Callithrix jacchus: one gene and its partner. The protein of the gene in region 2 interacts with the protein of the main gene of each other region in a biochemical or structural test. Links are inferred from orthologs where the notes say so. Each region holds a gene or a part of one and is shown on either strand. Other genes may lie near its edges.

Region 1 (5,436 bases), on a different chromosome or scaffold from region 2:
AGCTGCCTTTCCTCTTCCATCATGGGCGATCACCCTGAGCAGGCTCAATCTATGATCCAGAAAGTGGGCCCTTGCCTGACACTGAATTTGCTGGTATCTTGATTGTGAACTTCTCAGCCTCCAGAGCTGTGAGAAATAAATGTTGTTTATAAGCTACTCAGTTCATGGTATTTGGTTACAGCAGGAATGGACTAAGATACTATAGAATCAACAGGCATATATTTATCCCTGTTATTAACCAGGAACTTTGCTCAGCTCTGGATATACAGTGGTGAATAAACATCAAGAAATTCTTTTCCCAATGGAGTGGGAAAGAAAAATACAATTCAACTAAACACACAAGAAAATGTCTGTTATGTCCACAGGGATACTGACATCATAGTTCAAATAAAAAGAACAGCAACAAAAAGCAATCCTCCAGACTATTAAGAAAGATATTAAAAAATGTTGATAAACAGCAGGAAAAAAAGGAAAGAAGGGAGTAAGCATGACATTGTACATAATAGGAGTGGCCAAAAGAGTGGTCTGTTACAACTGGGAAGAATATTAAAAAGATGAATATGTAATAACAGCATAAGAAATCCACTAAGTATTTACTAAATAAAATAGTATTGGATTATAACCCAAAGTATAAAGCGAATACTCATGAGCCCATACTGATGGAAAAGTAAATGATTAAATAAATAAGTGAGGGGAAGGGAGAGACACATCTCCCATGCAGAAGAGCTCCAAATAATTTATGAAGACACTTCACCTTTGAGGAGATGGAGCATAACTCTCCTTCCTGAAGAGGTGTGGGTTGCATGTAGTGAGTTCCTTCCAAAAAATCTAGCATGGAAATGAAGAAAAAGGGGTGGGTGATCTGTGGAGAAAACTGGTATGCACTACATGATGAGTGTGATTACAGGTGATCAAGGTTCACATCAACAGCAACAAATCATGTGTACAGTATGTTCCCTGGAGATGATGTGATGAAAATGTGACTTTACCTAGGCCCCTTACCATTTTCTGATCTTCCTCCAAAAAACCTATAACCCCAGTCTAGTCATGAGAAAAATATCAGAGAAACATCAACTGATGGTCGTTCTACCAGATACTTGACCAATACTCCTCAAACCTGTCATAGTAAGAGAAAACAAGGGAAGCCTGAGAAACTGCTACAGCCAAGAGGAGCCTAAGGAACCATGACAAATAAATGTAATGTGATAGCCTGGATGGCTATTCCATATCTGGAATAGAAAAGGCATTAGGTAAGAATGGAGGAAATCTGAATGAAATGTACCATACTAATGAAAGACATTAACAATAGGGGAAAGTGGGTGTGGGGTATGTGGGAACTCTCTATACCAGCTTTGGAATTTTTCTTTAAAACCAAACTACTCTAAAATTGTTTGAAACGTTAAAAAAAAAAAAAAAACCCACACGCAAAGAAAAGAAAACACTCTTGCAATGCCAGATCTTTTGGTATCTCAGAAACAATATAGAAAAGTTCCCACAACACTTTCAAATTTATCCCCTCTAGGAATCAAGGTTAGCAGAGCCAATGTGTTATATTTACCTAAAGCCTGAAGAGCTCACTCAGGCCCATTCATCTATTCTTTTGTTTGCTTCTTGGTTGTTTCTACACTACAATTTCAAAATTAGGGTGTATTTTTTCTATGTTGGTGACTCAATAGGAATAGCACAGCAAAACGATTTTCTGTTTCTAATTAGTGACAATTCTACACTAAAAGGCACACTCTTTTCTATTTGAATTTAGGATTTCAGCAGAATACATAACTTTCTCAGATGTTCTGTTACAATTTCTCCAGCCTACCTCTCTGTTGCCTTTTAGCAGGAGCGCATTTTTTTCTCTGTGTGTTCCGTATATCAGTTGATATTTCAAAATTGCACAAGGGTTTCATTGTGAAACTCTGCCTTTCTGGTTTGACTTTATATAATATTGGTCAGCACATGTCCCTTCCCGGAGACAATGTGCACCTTCCTCCTCCACAAAGGGACGTGGCTCACATCACTTGAGCTATGCGACGATCACTTGGGCAGCCAGAATGTGAGAAAAGATCATCGTATTGTGATAGTAGACACTAGGCACTCGTCCCGCAGGTTAATTATTGTAAGTATTACATCACCAGAATGTGAATAGCTACAATAAATCATTTTACAAAAGAAAGAAAAAAGAAAGAAAGAAAGAAAAAGAAAGAAAGAAAAGCGAGCCAGCCAAAAATAGTGGGAGAAAAAAGAAAAAGCAAAAGTAGAACTGCATTGCTTAAGGTCTATTGTAATTTCTCCCATTTTCCTAAAAAGTTAACACGAAGAAAACAAAATAACGTCAATGTTCCCAGGGTTTTAAATCTCATGAGCCCAGAATCCGTGAAAATCCTGTTTAAAATCATCCGGTGAAATTGGCTTTGGGATGTCTCCCCAGCTACTGGATCATGTGGCTTCTGCATCTTTCTAACAATCGTCCCGCCGGACGTCCCCTGAGGACACAGCAGCTGGCTAGAGTCCCCAGACCAGACTTCTCTAACTGAATGTAGATGTGCAGGTGGAGAGGATAAAAGTAATTCTGGCTCAGCAGCCACGAACTCCCCACCCCCGCCCCCAAGTGCTCTGTTTAACGCCGGCTCGGCTGAGACGCTAGAGAGTCCAGACCACGCGGACGCTGTCCCCTCCCTGGACTCACAGAGCGGCCGGCGCCCGCCTCCCGGTGATGCCATCTTTCTTGGGATCTTAGCATCTTACGAGTGGGTAGTGAGTTTTGCATTCGAATCACGTCCCTCTGTCTGAAAACTTACCCCAACTTTGCAAACAGATGAGAACCCGCTAGTGGGGACCCTTAATTTTCTGTATCTAGAACTGACAAAATCAGACACAATTTACAAGAAGCCCACGACCTCGCGCTCCTGACCCTCGCGTCCGCCCTCCGGCGCCCTGGGGAGCAAAGTCAGCGCCCCGCGGCGACCTCGGCCCGGAGCGGCCCAGACACCGCGCGCGAGCGCCCCGTGGGGGGCTGGAGGCTGGGGGCAGGATGGTCCCGGCAGGAGTGGGTGCAAGGGTCGAGGAACCCCAGCAACTTACAGCCCAGGGCGACCACCAGGTAGCGCAGCAGCAGCAGAAGGAGGCGGTGGCGGCTCCTCGCCATCTTCGCGGTGCCGGAGCCGGCTGCTCAGACGACGTCGAGGGTCTCGGCGGCGGGCGCGCAGGAGGCCGGGGGCCCTCGAACTTCTGGGGTGGGAGAGGAGCAGAGAGTCGGGGAGGGGAGGAAGGAGAGGGACGGCTCTAGATGGGATGTTAGTTTCCCGCCCCCCCGGGCGCCTTCTCAGCTGGCTGCCAAGAGGCAGGTCCTCCAGCCCAGGGATGAGGGTCTGTCCTTTTCTGGGGGTGTGGGAGTGGGGGGTTGAGGGCGTGAAAACCAGGCGAAGCGTCCGCCGGGTCCTAGCGAGGGGGCAGCAGGAGGAGAGCAGCGCCCGGGAAAGCGGCCGCGGGTCGTCCCTCCGCCCCCACGCCTCCGGGATTGATCGGCTTTGTGTCTGGTCCGCGCGGGGCTGCCAGCTGTCCCTAGGGCGGGGAGCCGGGGGCGGGAGGCGCGGCAGGCTGGGGGGCGGGGTGGGGGGTTGGGTGTCTGGGGGACGGGGGTGTGTGCGGGTGAGGAAACGCCTCCTGCTTTGCCCCAACTCCTTTCTTCCCCTCCTTGGCTCAGAACTTCTTTCTGGCTTTTCAGCCCAGGGGTGGAGAAAATCGGAAAATTTCTGCCCAACGGGAGAAGCCGAGGGGGTGGCGCTCTGAGGAGATGGGGTTCGCGGGCTCCGCCTCGGACTCGAGACAAAAAAAAAGCAATCAAGACTAGTGCTGGAAGTCAGGTCTCAGATTTTAGCACAGCCTCGGTCCCTTTTCAGTTTAAGCTTTTTGCTCCTTGGAGATTTGAGGTGCGTTTATTTCGTGTTCTTTGCTTTTTTTTTTTTTTCAGTGTCAGAGTTGGAAGTTCATCTAATGGTGTGAAATATTTATCATGTTTCTTTCAAGTTACATAACTGCTGCTTGTGGAGTTTTCCACGTGTTAAAACTCTACAGCTGCCCTTTGTCAGGTTTATTTTTGGTCTACTGTGCTTTTAAAAGGGAAACCCATTATAAATGCTCTGTTGCGTGCTTTAAAATTGCACCGCACTTACATTGGATGCACGTACACTGGCAATTTTTATATTTGTTCCTAGGGACCAAAAATGTCTGGTTCATTCAAGAGTATTGGCAGGTCTGGAAAAAGGCCATTCCCAGAAGAAGAAATTGGTACACATCATTTTTTTTTCTTATGATTGAATAATGGATGAAGTTCTGTATAGAACATAGTTGATTTAGTGACGTACATATAAAGAATTCATCTAGCTCAGTGGACAAAGGCCACCAGAGTTTAGCTGTGCGGAGCTGTGAGGAATGGGGCATCCTTGCTGTTGCCGTGGTGACAATGATGAAAACTTAGTACCTAGGGAGGGGGTGGGAGGAGAGGACCCAGGGGGCCCAGAAAGGAAAGTCAGAATGGCAAAATGTTAAAACTCAAACTCCAGTCAAGCGAGGAGAAGGAACACAGATTTAACAACAGCTTATGCCAGTTTTTCTGGGCAGTAATGAGAAACATTTGATGCTTAAAAAGAAAAGTTGTTGGCATCTTCTTTTTTTCTAATTCTTGCTACTCTTTTACTCCTCCCTAAAAATATACACAAAAATGTCATACTTACAAAAAATTCTCTGCAATCCTATGTGAGTAACTGGCTAAGTTACTTGTTTGCCACCCAGCCAAGGCATTTGTCAAATGGCAACAATGTGCCAGATGCTGAAGGACAAACATGAACAAGATCGAGGCTTTCTTGCTAACAAGCTCACAGTCTTGAGGGGAGAGAGTCTTATCTGGAAAGGCGCCTGATACCACATGATAAATGTGACAGGAGGACAGAAAATAATAACAGCTATTTTTATTGCAGGCTTTCTTAGTGATGGAATCTAAATAATGCAATATCTAATTCCCCCAAGAGCTCTGTAAAAGAGGAACTGTTATCATTCCCACTTTACAGATGAGAAAACTGGGCTGAGAGATGCTAAATGGCTTGTCTGAGGTCCATGATAAGAGGATGTTCCTTCTGTTGGGAGTGGGGGCACAGCTTTCTTTAATAAACCTCAAAGAGTAGGTCAAACATAGAGGAAACAGCAGGATCAAGAGCTGGAAGATAAAAAAATTATGGCTGGCTTAGAAAAAGCAAGGTTCTACCGTATTACAGTATATGTGGGAATGGGATGGTAAGGTAGATGGTGATGGTAGAAAATACAGAGGAGGTTAAATTATGAAGGTGATTCATACTACTGTCTAGACCTCATCCTACAGCTAATGAACTTTTTGAAAGCAATGAGATAAGAAAAGACCCATATTTTAGAACCGTGGTGTCTAGA
Region 2 (5,569 bases):
GTAATCTCAGCTACTTGGGAGGTGAGGCAGGAGAACCACTTGAACCCAGAAGGTGGAGGTTGCAGTAAGCCACGATCATGCCACTGCTCTCCAGCCTTGGCAATAGAGTGAGACTTGGTTTCAATAAGAAAAAAAATAAAATAAATAAAACAAAACAAAATAAACTAGTATACACTCTAAACTAGTAGTATGCTCCCCCATACATGAAAACAGAAACACCACCTATAATTATGAGTAATTGTTGTTGTGAATCCAAGTATCTATGTAAAAAGCAAAAACCCCACAGCCACAGTTGTTGTCATCGTTGTCGCAAATTTAATTACTGGGTAGAAATGTCGAGTGCCGCAGCCAAACAGCAGTAGGAGGAGCCTTTCCCATGGCGGAGGGGAAGGAGGGAAACCTAGACTCTATTTCTGGGTCTGCCTCGAGCTTTCTCTGCCGCCTTGGGCAAGTGACTTCAGTTCTTGGTCAATGTCCTGGATTAAGATGGGGCTAACGCCACTGCACTGATTTGCTAGGACAGGTGGTGGAATGTGGGGGGTCGGGGCTGGGAGAGGAGAGGAAGGGCAATATTTCCTAGGAGAAACTGCACTGTAGCTGGGGCAGCTGTGGTGCTGCCAAGCGCAGCGAGTGTGGCAAGCGGACGAACCTCTTGTCTTGTTACCTTGTTTTAAAATTGGAGGTGGAGTGGGATGGATGGTCGATATGCAGCTCTCCCAGCTCTAAGTGCCCAAGTTCTGGGAGCTTGATTGCTTTCACGTCCCTTGGAAACAACTGGCAAAAATGAATTTCACACAGTCTGGTACCAGCTTACCATCTCCGGCACTCTTTGCTGACATTTGCCATTCTTTAAACACAATGACATACGTTTATTAAGGAATCACAGTCCATAACTAAGACAAAGTGAGCTTGAGTTACGTTCCCTAACTCGGTCCACGTTCCTTTAAAACGTCTCAAGTCGCATGTCACTCATCGCGGAGTCGCAGCCTTCCCCGGGGTTCAGGCGTCCGCATTAAGCGCAGGCACAGCGTGGGGATCCCCGCGTGCGGTTTTCCCGCGGCGTCGGAATAGACTGCTTTCGGATTCGCGTTGGGATTGCTTATGCTGCATAATTTCAAAGAAATAAATGTATCAGAATTGCGATGCTTAAGGTCTAATCTATTTAAGCGGGTGGGTCAGCAGCGGGTCAACGGGAAACTTCAAGGTAAATAGTGGCCTCGGCAAAAGGCCGGGTCGCTCACAGCTTCCCCACCGCCTCCCCAGAGCAGACGATTAATTTTTGTGTTTCAGGCAAACCCGCCGCTGCCCGGCCCTGCAGCCTAGCTGGGGAGCGACGGCGGCAGAAACCTGGCGGAGCGAGCGGCGGGCTCGGGTCCCGGCTGGCCGAGGGGCTCGGGCTGGAGTCTGCGGGGCGGTGGAGGGTACTCGCCGCGCTGGGCACAAACTGCTTTCACCCGCAGCGTCTGCACCCGAACCCTCTAGTCCGAGGAAGGGGATTAAAAGTGACAAAGGAAGGAGAAGGGGGGCTCCGTGGAGACACGTCTGGAGGCGTGGAAGGGGCGTCTAGGAGGAGGGGTGAGCACAGCCCCGCAGGGTGCTGGGCGGACGGGTGAAGGGGGCTGGGGGCTCCCGGGCCGGAGCTGGTGGGGGCCCACGGCAACTTGCGCGGGCTGGCTGTGGGGCGAGGGGTCCCGCGCCCCCGGAGGGAGGCGGGAGGCCTGCGGCGGGGGCGCGGGCGGCCGTCGTGCGCTCCGCCCAGAGCGGGGAGCCGGTCGCGCCTCCCCCTGCCGCATGTGCGCGGTGTTGTGTGCCCGGCCCTGCTCCTCCCCCTCCCCTCTCCTCCCCTCTCCTCCCCTTCCCTCGCTCCGTCCCCTCCCCCAGCGGCCCCGAGCGAGCGCCAGCGCCACACAGCCCCGGGCCGCCGCCGCTGAGCGCGCCGAGACGCCGAACAGGTGGCCGGAGGCTGCGGGCGCCGCGGCGGGGAGAGGCGAGGCGAGCCCCGGGCGAAGCGAGGCGAGGCGAGGGCGGCCGGGTCGGGCCCGGCATGCGAGCCGAGCGGTCCCCCGGCGTCACCGCCGCCTGCCCGCTCCCCTAGCCGCCTGCGCGCCCGAGTACCCCGCGGCTCCCCCGCTCCTAGCGTCCCCGACCCGGCAGCTCCGCCTGCGCTCGGCGAGGGGCGCGGGCCTGCCCGCGGCGGCGGCGGCGGCATGAAAGTGACCGTGTGCTTCGGACGGACCCGGGTGGTCGTGCCGTGCGGGGACGGCCACATGAAAGTTTTTAGCCTCATCCAGCAGGCGGTGACCCGCTACCGGAAGGCCATCGCCAAGGTGAGGGGCCGAGGGCACGGGCGGGGAGGGGGGCGGCGGCGGGGACGGCGCCGGGATCAATATGGCGCTTCCTGGAAGGGGGAGGAGAGGCACAGGGAGGCGGGGAAAGGGAAAGTGCGGCCGGGCCGGCCTCGCGGGCGCCCCCCGCCCGGGGCTGCGGGCGCCAAAGTTCTCCGCGCGGGCTGGGGCGCAGCCTCGGGAGCACCGCGCCGCGGCCCCCGCCGCCCCCCGGGAGCTCCGGTCTCGGGAGCGCGGGGCGAGCCGGGCGGCGGCGCACAGGCCAGCCCCGGGCGCCTCCCCGGAGTCTGCAGACCCAGCCAAGCCCCGAAAAGGCGCGCGGGGGGCGGGGGCCGGGAAATCCAGCCCCAGGCCTCTCCCGGCTCCCAGGCCCCGCGGGCACCGACCGGGGACTGGGAACTTCTGGTGTGAGGAGAGTTTCGGGACTGCTCTCCCAACAGAGGCGGGCTGCGAGCTTTCCATCTCCTCTCCCTTTCTCGGGCGGGGGCGGGACCACCGCGGGGGGCTTTTACCTCTGCGTCCCGGGCGGGCCGGGACGGCCGGCCTCGTCCGGGGGCTGCAGGGTTGGGGGAGTCTCTCGCTTGGGGTCCGGGAGGCGTTCCCGGGAGGGCCGCTGCTGGCACTGGCTTGAGAGCATTTACTGTGCTGATCCCCCTTGCTGGGCTCGGTAAAGCACAGCCTCGGCACAGTCGCGGAATGAAAAGTTTTCCTGCGAGGACCTCAGCTCCTACCCATCCCGGGCTGCTTCCATGCGGAGGGCTGTGGAGCCGGGCCTGACTCGGGAGTCGAGTGGATTTCCCTTTTTCCTGCTGGAGTGATAACATTGTCTCCACTTCACTGCATTCCTCTACTATGTGTCAGAAGTGAAAAGACATTTTGTTACATTGTTTTACCGACTGGGTCTGTATTTGACAACAGCCCACGCTGAAGTTTCTCTCAAGCACCCGAGGATATTTCCTTTGTCGTAGAGTCCTGTTTGGTGGGGAGCACATTCTCTTGGGTGCACTGTTTCCTATTTGTTCCCGACAGTGGCCTGGCGCCTGTGGGCTTGGGGGCTGCAGATGACATTGGAAAGTGTCTTGGCCAGCCCTATTGAGCGTACACCGGGTGCTCTGGGTGTCATCTTCAGTGATCTCAGAAATTAAGAAGAAAACGCTTTTTAGACTGCTGTTTTGCTTTCAATATATATTGGAAAAAATAGCATAAATGTGGCCTTTCAAACATAATTTGGGGGAACGTTTAGGAACCTGACTTAAGGCTGGAAGACATTGGCTTTAATAGTTCTGCTATGTTCCTTACAGTTGGTTGAACTCTTTTATTGAAAATCAAATAAAATTAGTGGGAATTGGACACCTGTTTATCTTGCAAAGCTGAGAGGGAAAGAAAACCATCTAAATGGACATTGAGCATTTTTAATGATTGTTTATGTGTGACAGTTTATGCTTTAAATGTTCCAAAAGAATACTCAAATTGTTCAGGTGCTCTGGAACCCAACAAAATAAATCGTGCAAGGAAAGAAATAAAATAATACACACTCTGTACTATGTCTTGGTTCCTGAAAAGGTAGGATGATTGAAGTTTCCTTTCCCTTTACTAATTTTATGTGATTAAAATTGTTTTACCTACTATGTCTCACGTTTCATCATGTACAAAATAGACATAGGCTGAACTGGCTGTTTGACAGTAGTTCAAATGTGGTTGTTTGAGGCATTAACTCGTTCCACAGAAATTCTTAAGCTTTGACTATGTCCAAGGCACTGTTCTGGGTGCTGGACATCTAGGGGACCCACTGGCTGTGAGAGTCTGAGCACGAGGCTGCGAGGTCCTCCAGGTGAAGGGGCTGGTGGTGGGAGAAGAGGTGGCCTCTGGGATGCTGGCGGACTAGATCAGGGCCTACCTGGCCCTTGTTATTAATGATTAGCAGTGGTGGTTTCACAAGGACCTAGGGCATAGAAAAGGGAGTGCAGATTTCTTAAGGGTATCTGGGCAGGTGTCACAAGGAGAAAAGCGGGGCCTATGAGCTGAAGGAAGGGAGGGTGTTAGTGATATGGGAGTTGAGAGGGAGGGTGAGAGGTAGTTCAGGGGTTCCAACACTTACATGCTCTTTAAGTACAACTTAGAGTTCTGTAGGTGAATTTGAACGGGGGCTTTGCAGTAGACCAAGTTCAGTCATTAGATCAGGACTGTTGACCCTCAGATGTTGCTAGAACTCAGGGGTCTTCTGGGCCCCTTTCTCCTTTTTCTTCTGAAATTGCTAGATAATGATTAAGATTAATTTTTAGTCTTTCCCATTCTATATTATGTGTGAGAAAGTGTTAATATGTATTTAACATTTTTTTTTTTTTTGAGACAGAGTTTTGCTCTTGTTACCCAGGCTGGAGTGCAATGGCGCAATCTCGGCTCACCGCAACCTCTGCCTCCTGGGTTCAGGCAATTCTCCTGCCTCAGCCTCCCGAGTAGCCGGGATTACAGGCATGCGCCACCACGCCCAGCTAATTTTTTTGTATTTTTGGTAGAGACGGGGTTTCACCATGTTGACCGGGATGGTATCGATGTCTTGACCTCCATCCACCCGCCTCGGCCTCCCAAAGTGCTGGGATTACAGGCTTGAGCCACCGCGCCCGGCCCTATGTATTTAACATTGTTTTAACTTTTATTCTCTTACCTGTTCCTTACGTACTCCTGTTGCTTAACAGAACAAGACAAATTCTGTGTGGAGAACTGGGTGGCTGGAGAGCTGTGGAGCAGTGTTTGGGTTGCTAGGTGACATGTGGTGTGATGAACTCCCATCTGGTGGGGAAACGTGGGCAGATCATGTTTATGGCTTTGTATAATAACCAACCAAGCCAAAATAAAAAATGAAAAGAGACAGGTCCCAACTCCCAAATCACCAAGGCTTTCTCTGCAGTAAACATTTTCTGGTGTGGTGGGGCTAATTTTCTGGCATTACATCTGAGCTGTTTTCTCCTCAGGTTACACAAATCAATTTTTCTGGATAGTGAAGTGCCATGATTTAATACTAGACATGTCCTCAGTGAGTAGTAGATATTTGAAGGCTTATGCTTAGTCATATGTGACATTTCTTTTTTCTTCTCATGAAAGATGTTTTTATGGTTGTGATTACTGGTGGGTGGGACCAACTGTTCATCTGCATCCACCCATCCACATTGGGAGCCTCTCGGAGGACAGTGTGGTGCTAGACATGGGGAACAGCGTGACATGGA

The links.
Region 1: the proteins of PARD3 (region 2) and JAM2 form a complex in vitro, tested with the Homo sapiens proteins (2 studies listed by BioGRID and IntAct, with this or other methods). The link is inferred for Callithrix jacchus from reciprocal best matches to the Homo sapiens genes PARD3 and JAM2.

What each region holds. Positions count from the first base shown.
Region 1 is NC_133522.1:31,848,020-31,853,455, reverse strand, and holds the start of JAM2 (junctional adhesion molecule B), read right to left. Parts: upstream 3,560-5,436; 5' UTR 3,143-3,559; coding exon 3,079-3,142; intron 1-3,078. UniProt on the Homo sapiens protein: Junctional adhesion protein that mediates heterotypic cell-cell interactions with its cognate receptor JAM3 to regulate different cellular processes. Plays a role in homing and mobilization of hematopoietic stem and progenitor cells within the bone marrow.
Region 2 is NC_133508.1:34,437,307-34,442,875, reverse strand, and holds the start of PARD3 (partitioning defective 3 homolog), read left to right. Parts: upstream 1-1,879; 5' UTR 1,880-2,207; coding exon 2,208-2,327; intron 2,328-2,857; exon of another isoform or gene 2,858-3,136; intron 3,137-5,569. UniProt on the Homo sapiens protein: Adapter protein involved in asymmetrical cell division and cell polarization processes. Seems to play a central role in the formation of epithelial tight junctions. Targets the phosphatase PTEN to cell junctions.